Drosophila melanogaster: one gene and its partner. The gene in region 2 interacts genetically with the main gene of each other region. Each region holds a gene or a part of one and is shown on either strand. Other genes may lie near its edges.

The links.
Region 1: of sqh (region 2) and ck, changing one enhances a phenotype caused by changing the other (phenotypic enhancement), as found in Drosophila melanogaster (one study listed by BioGRID).

The regions. Positions count from the first base shown.
Region 1 is NT_033779.5:15,053,122-15,059,410, forward strand, and holds the start of ck (crinkled), read right to left. Parts: upstream 4,742-6,289; 5' UTR 4,547-4,741; exon of another isoform or gene 4,384-4,546; intron 402-4,383; 5' UTR 311-401; coding exon 293-310; intron 1-292. Other genes in the region: CG33679 (uncharacterized protein), read left to right, coding at 5,182-5,547, 5,611-5,766. UniProt on the Drosophila melanogaster protein: Myosins are actin-based motor molecules with ATPase activity. Unconventional myosins serve in intracellular movements: can function in cells as a single-molecule cargo transporter.
Region 2 is NC_004354.4:6,220,718-6,228,329, forward strand, and holds sqh (spaghetti squash), read right to left. Parts: upstream 4,424-7,612; 5' UTR 4,290-4,423; exon of another isoform or gene 3,980-4,289; intron 3,804-3,979; exon of another isoform or gene 3,694-3,803; intron 3,441-3,693; exon of another isoform or gene 3,400-3,440; 5' UTR 3,288-3,399; coding exon 2,868-3,287; intron 2,795-2,867; coding exon 2,690-2,794; 3' UTR 2,344-2,689; downstream 1-2,343. Other genes in the region: Efr (ER GDP-fucose transporter), read left to right, coding at 665-1,723; dtn (detonator), read left to right, coding at 5,458-5,503, 5,723-6,015, 6,083-7,198, 7,260-7,465, 7,527-7,612. UniProt on the Drosophila melanogaster protein: Required for cytokinesis, could regulate contractile ring function.

The DNA.
Region 1 (6,289 bases), on a different chromosome or scaffold from region 2:
ATTAGTTAAAAAACTAAACTATGCAAAAATAAAGTACTTTGATAAGACTGCAATGAAAATATATATATATTTGAAAAATACCATCAACCTGTTGCTTTGCCCCATTCAAATATTCCCAGCCACCACTGTTCGTAGAGCAATGGTAGTTGAAGTGAGCCATGGCGTGGAACTTCCGCTTTTTTGCTTCTGTTAGCTGGTGCTCATGGGGCGGGGAAAGGTGAGATAGATGGAGTGGCTCGATAAGAGGAGTGATACCTCCACTGCGGGGGCTAATGGTGAGTGAAATACTTACACGTGTTACGATCACCATGTTCGTCGTCCTTCATTTACTGATCCTGTGTTGGCATCCAGGGACAATGGCCCGTTCCTTTTCGCTGCTGCCGCTTGGGTTATATTCTTCTCTGCCGAAAGAGAGAACAAGTGGAAGAGTTGGCCATGAGCAACAATAACAAAATACGAGTTAGCGCCTGCGGCAACAAAAACCGGCTTCGAATAGTAGAAAAAATTAAGGTGAAGTTTACGGTAAATTGAAAGAATTCACAACTTGTCGCTGTCTTCGTTTGTGGTCCGTCGTCTTCTTTTTGTTGTTCTTGCTATCAAATCGCTTTCCTAGCTCGAGGTAAACGTCTTTCTTTCCTCGATTTGGCCAACACACTCCAGCCAACAGCCAGCAAAAGTGGCAACTCATTAACAACACAAAATCAACAGCGAATTAGTCATCAGGCTTAAATGCATTCATAAAACTCATACTTTCGATACTTCTTTTCTTCTTAAACTAAGGGAAAACAGCCCGATCCAAACGAATTGATACGTGACCGAAAATCCTATAAAAAAAGTAAATAAACCTTTACACCTTTAGACATGCAAAAAAGGCCATCCAACTATTTTCACTTTTTGAGCTTCGGTCGCTTCAAACAATCAGTTTTGGCCACAAGAACCAACCGAAAAAGAGGGTCTAACCGAAATCGAAGGTCTCAATGAGCTGCGTTTGTTATGCAAATTGCTTGGTTTTCATTGAAAAAATTTACTTTCATTACTTTGTACGGCCTGGCAGTAGCTAAACAATGTTTTCGATTTAAGGCGATAGAAAACTAAACCATCTTCAATTAGATATTTACGAAAAGAAATTAGAAATGTGTTGCGCCACTGACAGGTTATCGTTGGTGAAAATTCCACCTTTAAATATGATCTTTAGAACTAAAGAAAATAAACATTGCAATTATAGTAACCAGTTTTAGCACCGGATTACAAGTGAGCAAATGAGCGCTGATTACAGAGTCCGATTACAACCATAATTCTTTAGTTTAATCATTTAATCTAGAGAATTCCGGAAAAACTCATCTAATCAACATGTAGATCGGCTTTTTTAAGCGAACTACTTAATTTCCGAAACCAGTCATGAATCAGAGTTTCAAGCTGGCGTCATTTCCCAGTCGGTTGCCATCGAAGCCGCCTTTCAATTGGACACCCCATCCATCATTTAGCACATGGACTAACGGCTGCCTCCGCACAGGTATAGTATAGTGTGGCATGGTATCAGCCGTAGTGTAGTTACTCATTGGGAGGCGTCTCTCCTCTCCACGGTAATTGCAACATGCCAGACAAAAAAAAAAATAAAGCAGCAACAGCTACGGAGCAACCAAATTTAGTGGCACACGGCGGCACGTATACTCGTACACATACCAGTCTGGTTACGCTCTGCCGGTCAAAATACGAGTCTAGTGCACATAGGGAACCCATCTATCCGCGATCCACACTCGAACCACAACCATATAGCGACCTCAATTGTCGGCTGGAGTTCAAACATTTAACTAAGACATACATACATGTATTAAGTAATATTGCTCAATACTCGTTGTCCTGTTATCAGCACCCAATTTAATAGTTTAATGCCCTCATTGTCATCTAAATCCCCTCTTTCCGCAAGTACTTAACTGTAGAACGCGGAAAAGGTTTCATTTATTGGGAACTCTATTTGTATCTTAAGGATTGCTTTTTAGGTAAACGTATCTATATTCGTATTTTAATCTTTTTTTGGTACTCAATCCACAACTGTTTTCAAATTGAAGAGAGCACTTAGACTAAGCACAGTCATGACTGAATTATTTAAAAACGATTGCCTAATTGCCGTACCTGCTGTTATCAGAATTTCCCTGCAGTGCAAGTAGCGATAAGAAGCGAAACATCAAACAAGGTGTAAATCGAGGTGTGAGGCAGACATTTGTATCTCTGGGCATGACCAAAAACGATTAAAAAACTTATAGAATCGAGCAAAGAGCGTCTAAGAATTTCCGGCTCTGCAGATTTAGCATCGAATGGTAGTGATAGTGGACTCAGTGACGAACGATTGGCACGTATCTAAGTGCATATATATGGTAACCATATGTATGTATATGTACTGCATGTATATATGTCTATAAGTAAGAGAGTGCGTTTTTAGTGAGTGATCCAAAAGTTCATCGAGAGTCATTAGTGAAAGTTCGTGTGTGGCAGCCACGTACAATTACGGTTTATGCCATCTACTCTACACTACATACAGACACTCGGCCATATATTATCTATAAACATATGTACATATAAAAGTATGTATGGCGTTCATACCAATTGTTTAATACAACCACTTTTTGTTCACTTTGACTTTGACACTTGACATCATGTTGTTGTCATCTTTGAGCAATTTGTGGCATAAAAACATTTCCTATCTGAAAAATTCATATTCGTCTTATTTTACAAAAAATGCAATAATAATCCTATAAGGTTTCACTTTACTTATACGTTAATTGGAGCACTTTAGTTAAACCCATATTGTTTTATTGGTCACTTGAATTATAGCTCTCAAGATAATATGGCTAATAATAAATCCGTAGTAAAGTCTATGGAATGCGAACGATTCTTAAATTTAAGAGCAAATGCACTTTTTCAATTCATTTGAACATTTATAATATTACTTATTTTACAAAAATATTGATTATATGTTGCCTTTAGACCTTTTCAAATTTAAATTATAAAGTGTTTGTTATTAATGTGAACTTGTAAATGATTTAAATTTAAAAAACACCGTTAGTTGTAGAATTTTTTTTTAACTTTTTCCATAATTACTAGCATTGCTAACAAAATTCTTTTTCGCAAAACTTCGTTTGTTGTTCACACAATTTGCTTCTGGTTTAACAACTGAAATCTTCTACAAAATTTAACGACTCACCAGCGACAACAACAAAAATAAAAAATGGGCAAAGTATTATGTTCATTTTTTTTTTATTATGTATTTAGAGAAGACCTTAAAAAAGTTTCACCAAACAAACAGAAAGTCGCTGCGTGCGCGAAAGCCCCCAGCAACAACAAAAACAAAAACAGCCCAACAACCCAAATGGAAACGCAAAAAAAAGGTTGAGATGGGAGAGAAGAAACAAAAACCGGCTAATGAAAAGCGTTTATTTGAAAAAGGGTTTTCCAATTGTCCACACACGAAATGTCCCGTTGTGCAACAGCAAAAACAACAAACCGGACAAACAAGTGTGCCTGCGTTTTTGTTGTTATTGTCAATTTCAGAACTCTTGACCGCTGAACTGCAAGAAAAAGCAGACGCTTCATGATCGATTTGTATTTATGCAAATTTATGTAAATGGGATATACAAATATTTAACTTGAATGTTTGAAATTTATAAACAATTAATGATAGTACACTCTGATTAGATTAGATTTACACAGTAAAAGTATTTCATATATGTATATTTTTCATAATCATAATGATAGATTATAAAAAAAAACGTTTTCAACTGATTAATAAAACACACTTAGTCACTGTTTTAAGGTTTACGCACGTAATTCCATAAAAGACTATTCAAATCATTTTAAATTGACATCGTTTATTTCTCAGTGTGGAAGCCTGGTTCAAGCTCAAGGAGAATGAGAGGGAGAGAGCGCACTGTCGAGAGCGGGTGGGAAAGGTACGTGGCAGAGGGGGAGACGGTAGCAGCACCCTTGAATGTGTTGCACTGTGAGCCGCTCTTTACGCATCTCTCCCTCTCGCTCGCTCTGCAGCTCCTCGGCAGGTGTACCTGTCCGTGTGTGCGTGCGAGAGAGCGGGGCTGCGCTTGTAGTGTGCATGTTAGTACCGTTCTAGCCAACGAAACCTGAAGCGTAGCTATTTAATTTGGTCACTCGCCTAAAGCAATAAAAATGCAATGCAGCCACGTCTCCGTCTGGAAATGCAATAAAATCGATGATGTTACACTGAACCGATGCTGTGACCCTTGTCATTTTCCCCACTGGCTTTTCTAGCCACAAACAGACACACATTTACACAGACCGCTTGGCAGGGTTAATGCACTCTTTTCTTTTAGTTTCGTTTCATTTCTTTTCTTTTTTCCAATCACTCTCTACCTTAATTGCCGCCTCAGAATTTTGCACTCTCCGCTTTTCGGTCACCGAATTCGAATTCTAATTGGAATCGCTCTCGCCACGACCGTTTAATTAACACTTTTCCAGACCCGTCGAAAGCGGGATGTTCTTTTTCAAAAACAGGTTACATAAATAGGTCACGCACCAGCAGTCGCAGGAATAGAGCAGCGCGCCGAAAGTCCGCTTTTCCAGCACAGTTAAGCCGAGCAACAGGTGGATTACAGACCACTGATCATTTTGGGGCTGTGCGATTTGTTTATTGTTTTTCTTTTCGCCGAGAAGACAAGACTTGAAGCGAAAAATAACAACCGATAAACTGATCAATAAGAGTGACCAGGTGGTGGGGCCAGTTGCGAATGGCCTAAAAAATGCGCGGATTACTAATCGTGGTATGCTAACGAGTTAACATTACAGTTCATTTGAAAACCGCTTATATGGTCACATTGCCGCGTAAGCAGTCCGATCGATAGACTTCCGATAGCATCGATAAAAATAAGCATTACTTACCCAAATTTATCGACCTGCCTAATTTCGGCGCGCATTTCAAAATATCTGTCATAAGCTATTGCATTTTTCAAGAAATATCTTTTTTCTATGTCAATATATTAAACATGTCGTCATATTAGCTCATTGAAGCGGTTTGTTGATTACCTAATTATTTATACGAACTGCGATAAGTAGTAATTAAAATCTAATTATGCCCCATCAGTAATTATATTTTTGGAAACCAGTACTCCACCATCGCGTAGAGTGGTCATTACATCCAGACTATTTGCCCTGATGAAGTACCTCTTGTGGATCAGCTTACTTTTCATTGGAGAATCCCATGGATACGTGCGCCTCACGAACCTCAAGTGCGAAAGCTATGACAAATCATTCGTCGTCTTTCCCGAATGCCGACTAAAAGTGCTTGGCAGGGGAATTATCGGAGCCAACATACACGTTAAGCTTCTGAAACTGCCAATAAATAGGATGGTCGTGAGATTCATCACTTACCGGAAGCTAAACGGATACCATCCGTTTCTATTTAATGTTTCCGAGGAACACTGTCGCGTCCTAAGGTATCCAAATCGTCTCAGAGTCTTCTACTATTTCTACACCGCCTTTATGCCCTTTTCCAATATTAATCATACATGTCCCTATAATGTAAGTATTTAGTTTCGCCAATATGACAATCATATTAAATCATATTAAAATATATATTTTAAGGATGATATTTACATAAGGAACTGCACCTTGGATGATCGTATGTTTGCCAAGGTCCCATTACCAAAGGGTAGCTATAAGTTAACCCTCGAAATGGATGATGGTGTCGTGAACTGGATTTCCATCATAAACATCCACTTTGAAATTGACGTTGACTAAGATGAACAAAACATTAGAACACCTAATGGATCTAACACAACGAACACATATTTATTTTGCGTTAATGTTTTAATTATTCCTATGCCCGCTATATGATATAGTTGTCCGATCTGGCCCGTTCCGACTTCTATACTTAATGCAATACAAAGTTCGTTAATGCAAATTGCTTTAAAACTGACTAATTACATCGGTTGTTAATACTCTTCGAGAATACATACACAATATGGCGTCTTATTTACTTCTCTGCTAGATCATTCTGAGTTATATTTATAATGTATTCATATTTACTTTGCTCAATGCTCAATTTATCGCCCCGCTGTGTTATCGGCGAGTTATCAGCAGCGTGGTCGTTATCACCGGCGTTTTTAAAAAACTGATTGCGGCAACAAGACGTCTCCGTTTTATCAATAGTTAATGTTTATTGAAATTTCTTTTCTCTCGTTTAAGGTTTAGGTGGTCAGAGTAAACGCCTCCGCAGTTGGGCAGCAGATACAAAATGTTTTCTCGCGTGTCGTGTCTTTAC
Region 2 (7,612 bases):
GACCACTTTAAAATAGCTTTGTTTACGATCAGTTCTATTTTTGGTAAGCATTTTATGCAAATTTTATATCTCCTATAACTGTTAGCTATCGTGATTAATAAATCTCGGAGCCAAATGATTAGCTTCATATGCATTCACAATGCGCAAAGAATAAGTATAATAATTTATGCTAATGTATGTTTTTCTTCGGTATCCCCGTGTGCTTTGCACATACGACGTACGACTGAAATTTAATAGCTCTGAATTGCTGAATTGCAAATTAACAATAATTTAAATAAATAATTTCATCAGTTAGTAGTAATATATTCAAAACAGATTGATTTATTAATAGTGCTAAACTCTTTTTTAGCATAATCAGAGCAAAATTTAGTGGAAATCAAATTGCTTCGTAATCATGGCAATGTTTTGCGAATGTATAAAACAATTTACGTGCATGTGTGTACATACGTACCTACTTATTACCCCTTTAAGATAACAGATAGCACGGAATGTTTTACATGCTAGAAAACAAAATGAAAAAAAAAACACACTTGACAAAAAGTTTAAAAAAAATTTAAAATTGAACACGTACTCTAACATCGATTGTCAAGATGCTGGATTTTAATAGCCTATAACCATTCATATTTTTAAAATTTCTAAACATATACATATTTATCTTTCAGATATGGCTCTGAACCTGAAGGCCCTGCTGGGCATGCTGTTCGTGTTCATCGGCTGCTGCAGCAACGTGGTCTTTCTGGAGCTGATCATTCAAATCGATCCGGGAGCGGGTAACCTGATCACCTTCGCCCAATTCCTGTTCATCGCGCTGGAGGGTCTGGTCTTCACCTCCAAGTTCTTTACGGTGCGACCGAAGATTGCGCTGAAGGACTACGTCATCCTGGTGGCCCTGTTCTTTGGGGCGAACGTTTGCAATAACTATGCCTTCAACTTTAACATACCCATGCCGCTGCACATGATCTTCCGTAGCGGATCACTGATGGCCAACATGATCATGGGCATTGTGCTGCTGAAGAAGCGCTACAATCTGCGACAGTACAGCTCCGTGGCCATGATCACGGCTGGCATTATATTGTGCACTCTGGTCTCCAGTGGCGATGTCAAGGATAATACACATCACAGCCTCAAGGTGGATACATCCTACTCCGATTTCTTCTGGTGGACGGTGGGTATTGGCTTGCTGACAATCGCCCTGCTGGTCACCGCCTACATGGGCATCTACCAGGAGGTGATATACAAGAAATACGGCAAGCATCCCAGCGAGGCCTTATTCTTTACGCACATGTTACCTTTGCCCGGTTTTCTGATCATGGCCGGCAATATAGTCCAACACTTTGGTATCGCATGGTCATCGGAACCAGTGGCCGTGCCACTGCTGGGAGCCATTGGACTGGAGTGGAAATTCCCGCTGATGTTGTTCTATCTGCTGTGCAACGTGGTCACCCAGTATGTATGCATCAGTGCCGTCTACGTTCTGACCACCGAATGTGCATCGCTAACCGTAACGCTGGTGGTCACCCTGCGCAAGTTCGTCTCGCTGCTGTTCTCGATCATTTATTTCCGGAATCCATTCACCCTAAACCATTGGGTAGGCACCATCCTGGTATTCTTCGGCACAATACTCTTCGCCAATGTGATCAACCAGGTGAGGGACGCCTATCGGGCCAGGTCGAGCCGGAAGACCCACTTCGACACCGCTCCGCTGGCCAAGAAGGTGGAGTAATCTTCGCGGGCTGTGATGGTTCCTGCTGCAGAGGCCATTAACCATTAACCATTAATTTGTAGTCGTAGCGCCTTGTTTGTACATAGAATTTGCCTAGTGTTTAGACGCCTCTTTGTCTGGTTTGTAATTCTTGTGTCCGTGTCTTTCTAGATTTTCAAATGTTCGTGTTTTCTTTTAAATTAATAGTTGTCCAAAAAGTGTGTAATATACAACGTTGAGTGTTTCGAACATTAAGCCATCTATTTAATTGATTTTTTTTTAAATAAATTCTTGAAAAACATATATTTGCAGAAGCTGAAATATCTTCGAATCAAAAATAATGTGAGATAAGATATGAGTTTGCAAGTTCGAGTCTTTTGGACATGAACTCATTAGTCAGCTTGTCGAAGATTCCAAGAAAATTTTGACTAATTTCCGAAATCTCTTTCAATTTCCCGCCACATTTGAAGCTACATACACTTATCACATCGTGCTAGTGATCATGCTTAATTAGCCATGGGGGGTACATATTCCAAAGTTTCCCTTGTTTGATCAGTTGCTTTTGGCTGAAGGATTTCTGCAGACATCTGTTTGGTTGGACGTGCGCACGTTCTCGAGTGTAAGAAAAACAAAGGTTTATTGCCACATTCTTGTATAAGTATGTATTTGTATATAGGTAATATATATGTATATTCAATGAGTTAATACTTATGAAAGGAGTTTTTCGGGAAATCGTGTTATCTGGCACCAACATCTCACACACTACACTGTCGTACATAACAATCGCTGGTGTTGGCTACTTTTTGTTTAATTCAAATGCACGGATAAGTACAGGATTATCAGGAATCAAAGAACAGAAGGCGCGAAACCAAAAAAAAAAAATATTTATACTTGTATATATTAAATTATCAAAACGAAACTCATGATGGATAGTTTGGACAGGCTGATTGGAGAGGCAGCTGGCTAGTGAATCGACTGCTGGCGATCTTACTGCTCATCCTTGTCCTTGGCACCGTGCTTAAGGATGCGCGTGAATTCGAGGTAGTCGAACAGACCGTTTTTGATGGGCGCCTCCCGATACATCTCGTCCACCTGTGAATGTAAATGGAAAAGAAGTTGTAAGGGCACACTCCGACTTGATATCGTAAACAACTTGACAACATACATCCTCGTCTGTGAACCGATCACCCATGGTGGTCAGCAGCTCCCTCAGGCGATCCTCGGGCAGGACGCCCATATTCTCCTCGTCGAAGCAGCCGAAGGCGTTCTTGATCACATCCTCGGGATCGGTGCCCTGCAGCCGCTCGCCGAAGAGCGTGAGGAACATGGTGAAGTTGATGGGCCCGGGCGCCTCGTTCATCATGCCATCGAGATAGTCGTCCGTTGGGTTCTTGCCCAGCGAGGCCAGCATGTCGTGCAGATCCTCCTTCTCGACGAAGCCATCACGGTTCTGGTCGATCATGTTGAATGCCTCCTTGAACTCGGCAATCTGCGCCTGATCGAACATGGCGAACACATTGGAGGTGGCGCGTTGGGCGCGCTTCTTGGTGGTGGCGCGACGTCCGGCGGTCTTACGGGATGACATGGTTGCTGTTGGATTGGTGGTTCTGATGCGGTTAATGGAGCTAAATGGAGCCGGCCTATGGAGCTGGTGGCACTAGTGCTTCGCGCTGGAGTGATGTGTGTGCGGCGTGGATCTGAAATCGAAAAACGCCGACTCACATTAGCATTTCGTTGGCCGGGTATGTATTTATGGCTATATATAGACATATTGCAGCGAATTCCGCTGAAACCGATTTTCATTGCTCCCCAAACAAACTGTGTCAACATACAGTGGACGCTCGCTACAGTGAGTACACCATGCATATGCTTATCACAACGGAAAGAACATCTTATTGCTGCTCTTTAAGGTTTTTTAAGGAATGAAGGTTTGGCCATTGCCTAAAATGGGCGAACTACAAATTATATTTATAAATAAATAGTTTTAATACAGTTTTAGGCCAGAAAGGATAATGCAAAAGCAGTTCGATGGCTCCATGCTTCCGCTACAGTTACAAGTCCACCTTATCGGGCGCCCACTGTGAGTACGACTCATGCACGCACACATGCGCAGCTCTCTGAGTCACTCGCGCAAACGAAAATGACACGTATGGGAGTTTCGCTCTCGCTCTGCGCCAGTGCGTGCATGTGTATGCGAGTTTATCAATGCTGTTGAACTGCGGTTAACAAAAACAACATCGCACACGTATTTGGCTCATTGAAAACATTCTCACACACACTGGCACACGCATTTCAATTAAAGCCTTAAAAGGCCAGAAAAAAACCGCAGTTGAAGCACCCAAATTCACTCGAGAACTCAAGTTGGGCCAAATGTTTGCGACTTCGTTGATTTATCACTTTCGAATGGACATTTAAATGGAATTATAGCACAAAAACAATTGTTTTCATTTGCGCGCTGCCGACGCTGACTCATACGCATACACTAACACACACGCACACTCACATAGGGCAGCGCCCTTTGGGAGTTCAGTTCGTTTATTTTATCGAATATGATTGCTTGATTACGCCTGATTTGATTCATACTCACAGCTGCCGAATGCCGAGTGTTTAATACTATCGAAGTTTCGTTAATGCAACTTTCGACCAGCTGCACTTTTGTCTTTTATAATTTCGGTTCGACGAGAAGGCCAAGTGTGACCAGCATAGAGGCGGTTTCAATTTATCAGAAAATACCGCAGAATATGCTAAAAATTACTGTGCAAAAGTGCTAATTGTTGGAGCTCCTAAAATAAATAAATATTAAGACTATAAATTATATTATAAAATATAAAATTATATTACAAATGTGAATACTACTGAGACTAGGACCATGGCTATTAGAATCCTAAAAACCTATTGTCAGTTGTGCTACCAGATCTTGTTTTAAAATATTCGTTCCTAAGAAGCTCTTTTCTTGTAGAATCTAAAGTTTCTCAAAAAATTTTCTTAAGCAATCCCAATTAATTTTATTTTTCTTTATTCTTCACTGTCAAACATGGTATTTTTTTTTTTTTGGTATTAACTTTTTGAATTGCCCGCGTTCTGATTGGAGTTTCAGGAGTATGCGCACAGTCTGGCAGCCCCATATTACAGCACTTCCAAATACGGTAGTACCACTATCTTAGGATATTGTTTTCAATACGGTATGGACACACTGCAAAGTGTTTGGAATGTTCGATATTTGTGTAAAATTCTGAGAGACCTGAATGAAAAGAGGCATGCATTAGGGCGTCGAACGAGGGATTTTCCAGCCCAGCAGATCCTTGCCAGCGCGTGAAAAGCGAGTCGAGTGAAAAATCGAATCGATTGGCACGGTTGCGGTCCAATTAATTTCGAACTGAACTGCGCGATTTGCAGGAGAAGATGTGTCTATACCTGCATGTGCATGTGTATCTGTGTGTGAGGTGGCCCACGGCTGTGTGTGTGAGCAGCGTGTGAGTGTGTGTTGGTGTGTGGGTGTGTGGGCACACTGGAAAGAATCAATAAAGGATGTGCTGCGGATTGCTGAGCGAGAAAAAAGGACGAAAAGTGCTAGCCAGCGCGAATTAACGGTTGACTTTTGGCACGATTAACGGAATAACGGTCAAATAAGCCACACAAGCGAGAGAACAGTGAAAATAACGAAAGTGCGGGCACAGTTAATTAGCAAATTAACGAGTGGGTGGGCACAGGATTTCAGGATTTCGATATATTTTGGATTCCTGCACACGAACAAGATGATGAGATACTGCCTCATAATTGCTTTGCAGCTGTCGTTGGCATGTAAGTATCAAATAAAGTTTCCAAACCCAGGGGGGTGGTACAAAAAAAGCGATGGAGTGGGAGGAGGGAGTAAGCCAGTGGGAGGGGGATAAAGGAGGAGTGGGTGACCTCCGGGTTTAAGAAAATCCCCAACCCCTATGTTACCATTACCAAAATTCAACTAATTGACTCCTTCATCTACTCCCAACCCATAACAAATCCATGCCGAATCCTCGCCAGACTCCGTGGAGGTGCACTTCGAGGCGCCGGACAGCGGCTTCTTTCTGAAGCACGCCCGCCAACCACCTGTGACGCCGGAGATCGCCAATGTGCAGACATCCTCGGCGGTGCCGCCGTTACGGCAACGATCCTCCTATGATTCCGTGTTATCTCTGGACAGATTCACTGTGGTCGAGACCACGCAGCCGGTGTCCATACGCGCCAGCTATGGACCGTTTTCCACGAAACAAACGGTGCCAGCCCGCTACATTGTGCCGGACACAATGGACAGCCAGTCGGGCGATTATATGAACGTGAGTTATCCCCAAATCCTGGCAAGCAACAAAAGGACGCCTTGTCATACCACTTTCTCTCCCACAGAATGCCACTCTACTGGAGCTCCAGCAGCCAAATATGCACCTGGACATATCCGCCCATTTGGTTCGCTCCAGTGTATCGCAGGATGCTCCCGTGCTTCGGGTACTATTCCACGCCGGAGCCGATCCGGGTGGTCATTTGCAGCGCCAGAAGGTCTGTGTACTCCTGCACGTGGCGATGGGTTCGGAGCAGCCGCTCAAAGGACGCTGCATGCCGGAGGGCGAGGACGGTGTCTGCGTAGCCGAAGTGGTCGTGCCCCTGGGCTGGTGGCCCCAGCTGCCGGCGCCCACACAAGATGGCAGTGGTCAGGCGCCACCCAAAGTACCGCAGCGGTATGCCCAGGTCTCGTACAGTGTCTTTGAACCGCCTTTGCGTAATCCCGAGCAATGCGAGCCGAAGGTGCAGATCCAACCGTTGACCACATTCGCCCAGGTGCCTTTGTTGGCCGCCAGGACTCCCTATCGTATGTTGCGCGCCGATGATGCCGTCACCTTTCTCCTGCCACAACATCCGCTGTATCCACTCTCCCGTCTACATGTGCCCGTCTTTTTACATCAATATCCCGATCAGCGGGTGGCCGCCTTCACTGTGAGAGCTCGTGTTAAGGCGGGCTTAAAGATTCTGGGCGCCACCGCCTCCACAGACCAATGGAGCGTTTCTGTAGAGAAGGAAAATCCCAAACACACTACCGCTCGCGTTACTGCTTTCCGCAAAGAGGCCGAATCCAGTCTGGAAAGTGGTGGCAACCTAACCAGCGAGGTGTTTGAAGTATTCTCATGGCTGCTCGAGGTGGCCGAGGACACCAATGATATTGTGGACGGTGGCAAGATTGTGTGGTCCGTGACGCATGTCTATGACACGCCAAAGGACAAGGATTCCGGGGAACTGGTTATACCCGATGACAACAAGAAGCGACTAATTGCCAAGCTGGAGATCAACAAGGATGACATTCAGGCGGTGCTACCGATGGCCAAAATCTGGGAGGTGATGAACACGGCGGTGCTAACGGGCAGACAGGTGGCCCAGGCGATGAAGGTGTTCATCGTTTCGCAGGCAGGCAAGGTGGCCGATGTGACGCTACAGAGCTCCTGTCACGCCGAAGATGAAAGTGTAATCAAGGTGCGTCTGATGACTGTGAATCGTGCAATTGCTAGCTAAATAACCAATCAACTTCTTTCAGGTCTCCTCCTCCTGCAGCTCTGTTTATGTGGATGGCTCCGAGCAGCGCGGCTCATCCAATGCCTCGGTCATTGTCAAGTATGGCACCTATGTGGGCGTGGCCAAGTTCATCGTTTGGATGCCCGAGTTTCCGCTGGAAGTTTACATATCCGATTTCCGTCTCTCCCAAATCAAAGGATGGAAAGTAACCGATGACAATCACTATCTGTAAGTTTATTATCCTGTAGTTTGAATATCTTACTTATCATTCTTATTCATTGCATGGCAGACACAACAAGCAGTCTCGTCGAAGAAAGAAGAGATCCTACGTTTGGGGTCAGCATGGAACGAACTACTATAACAATCTGGGAGCGG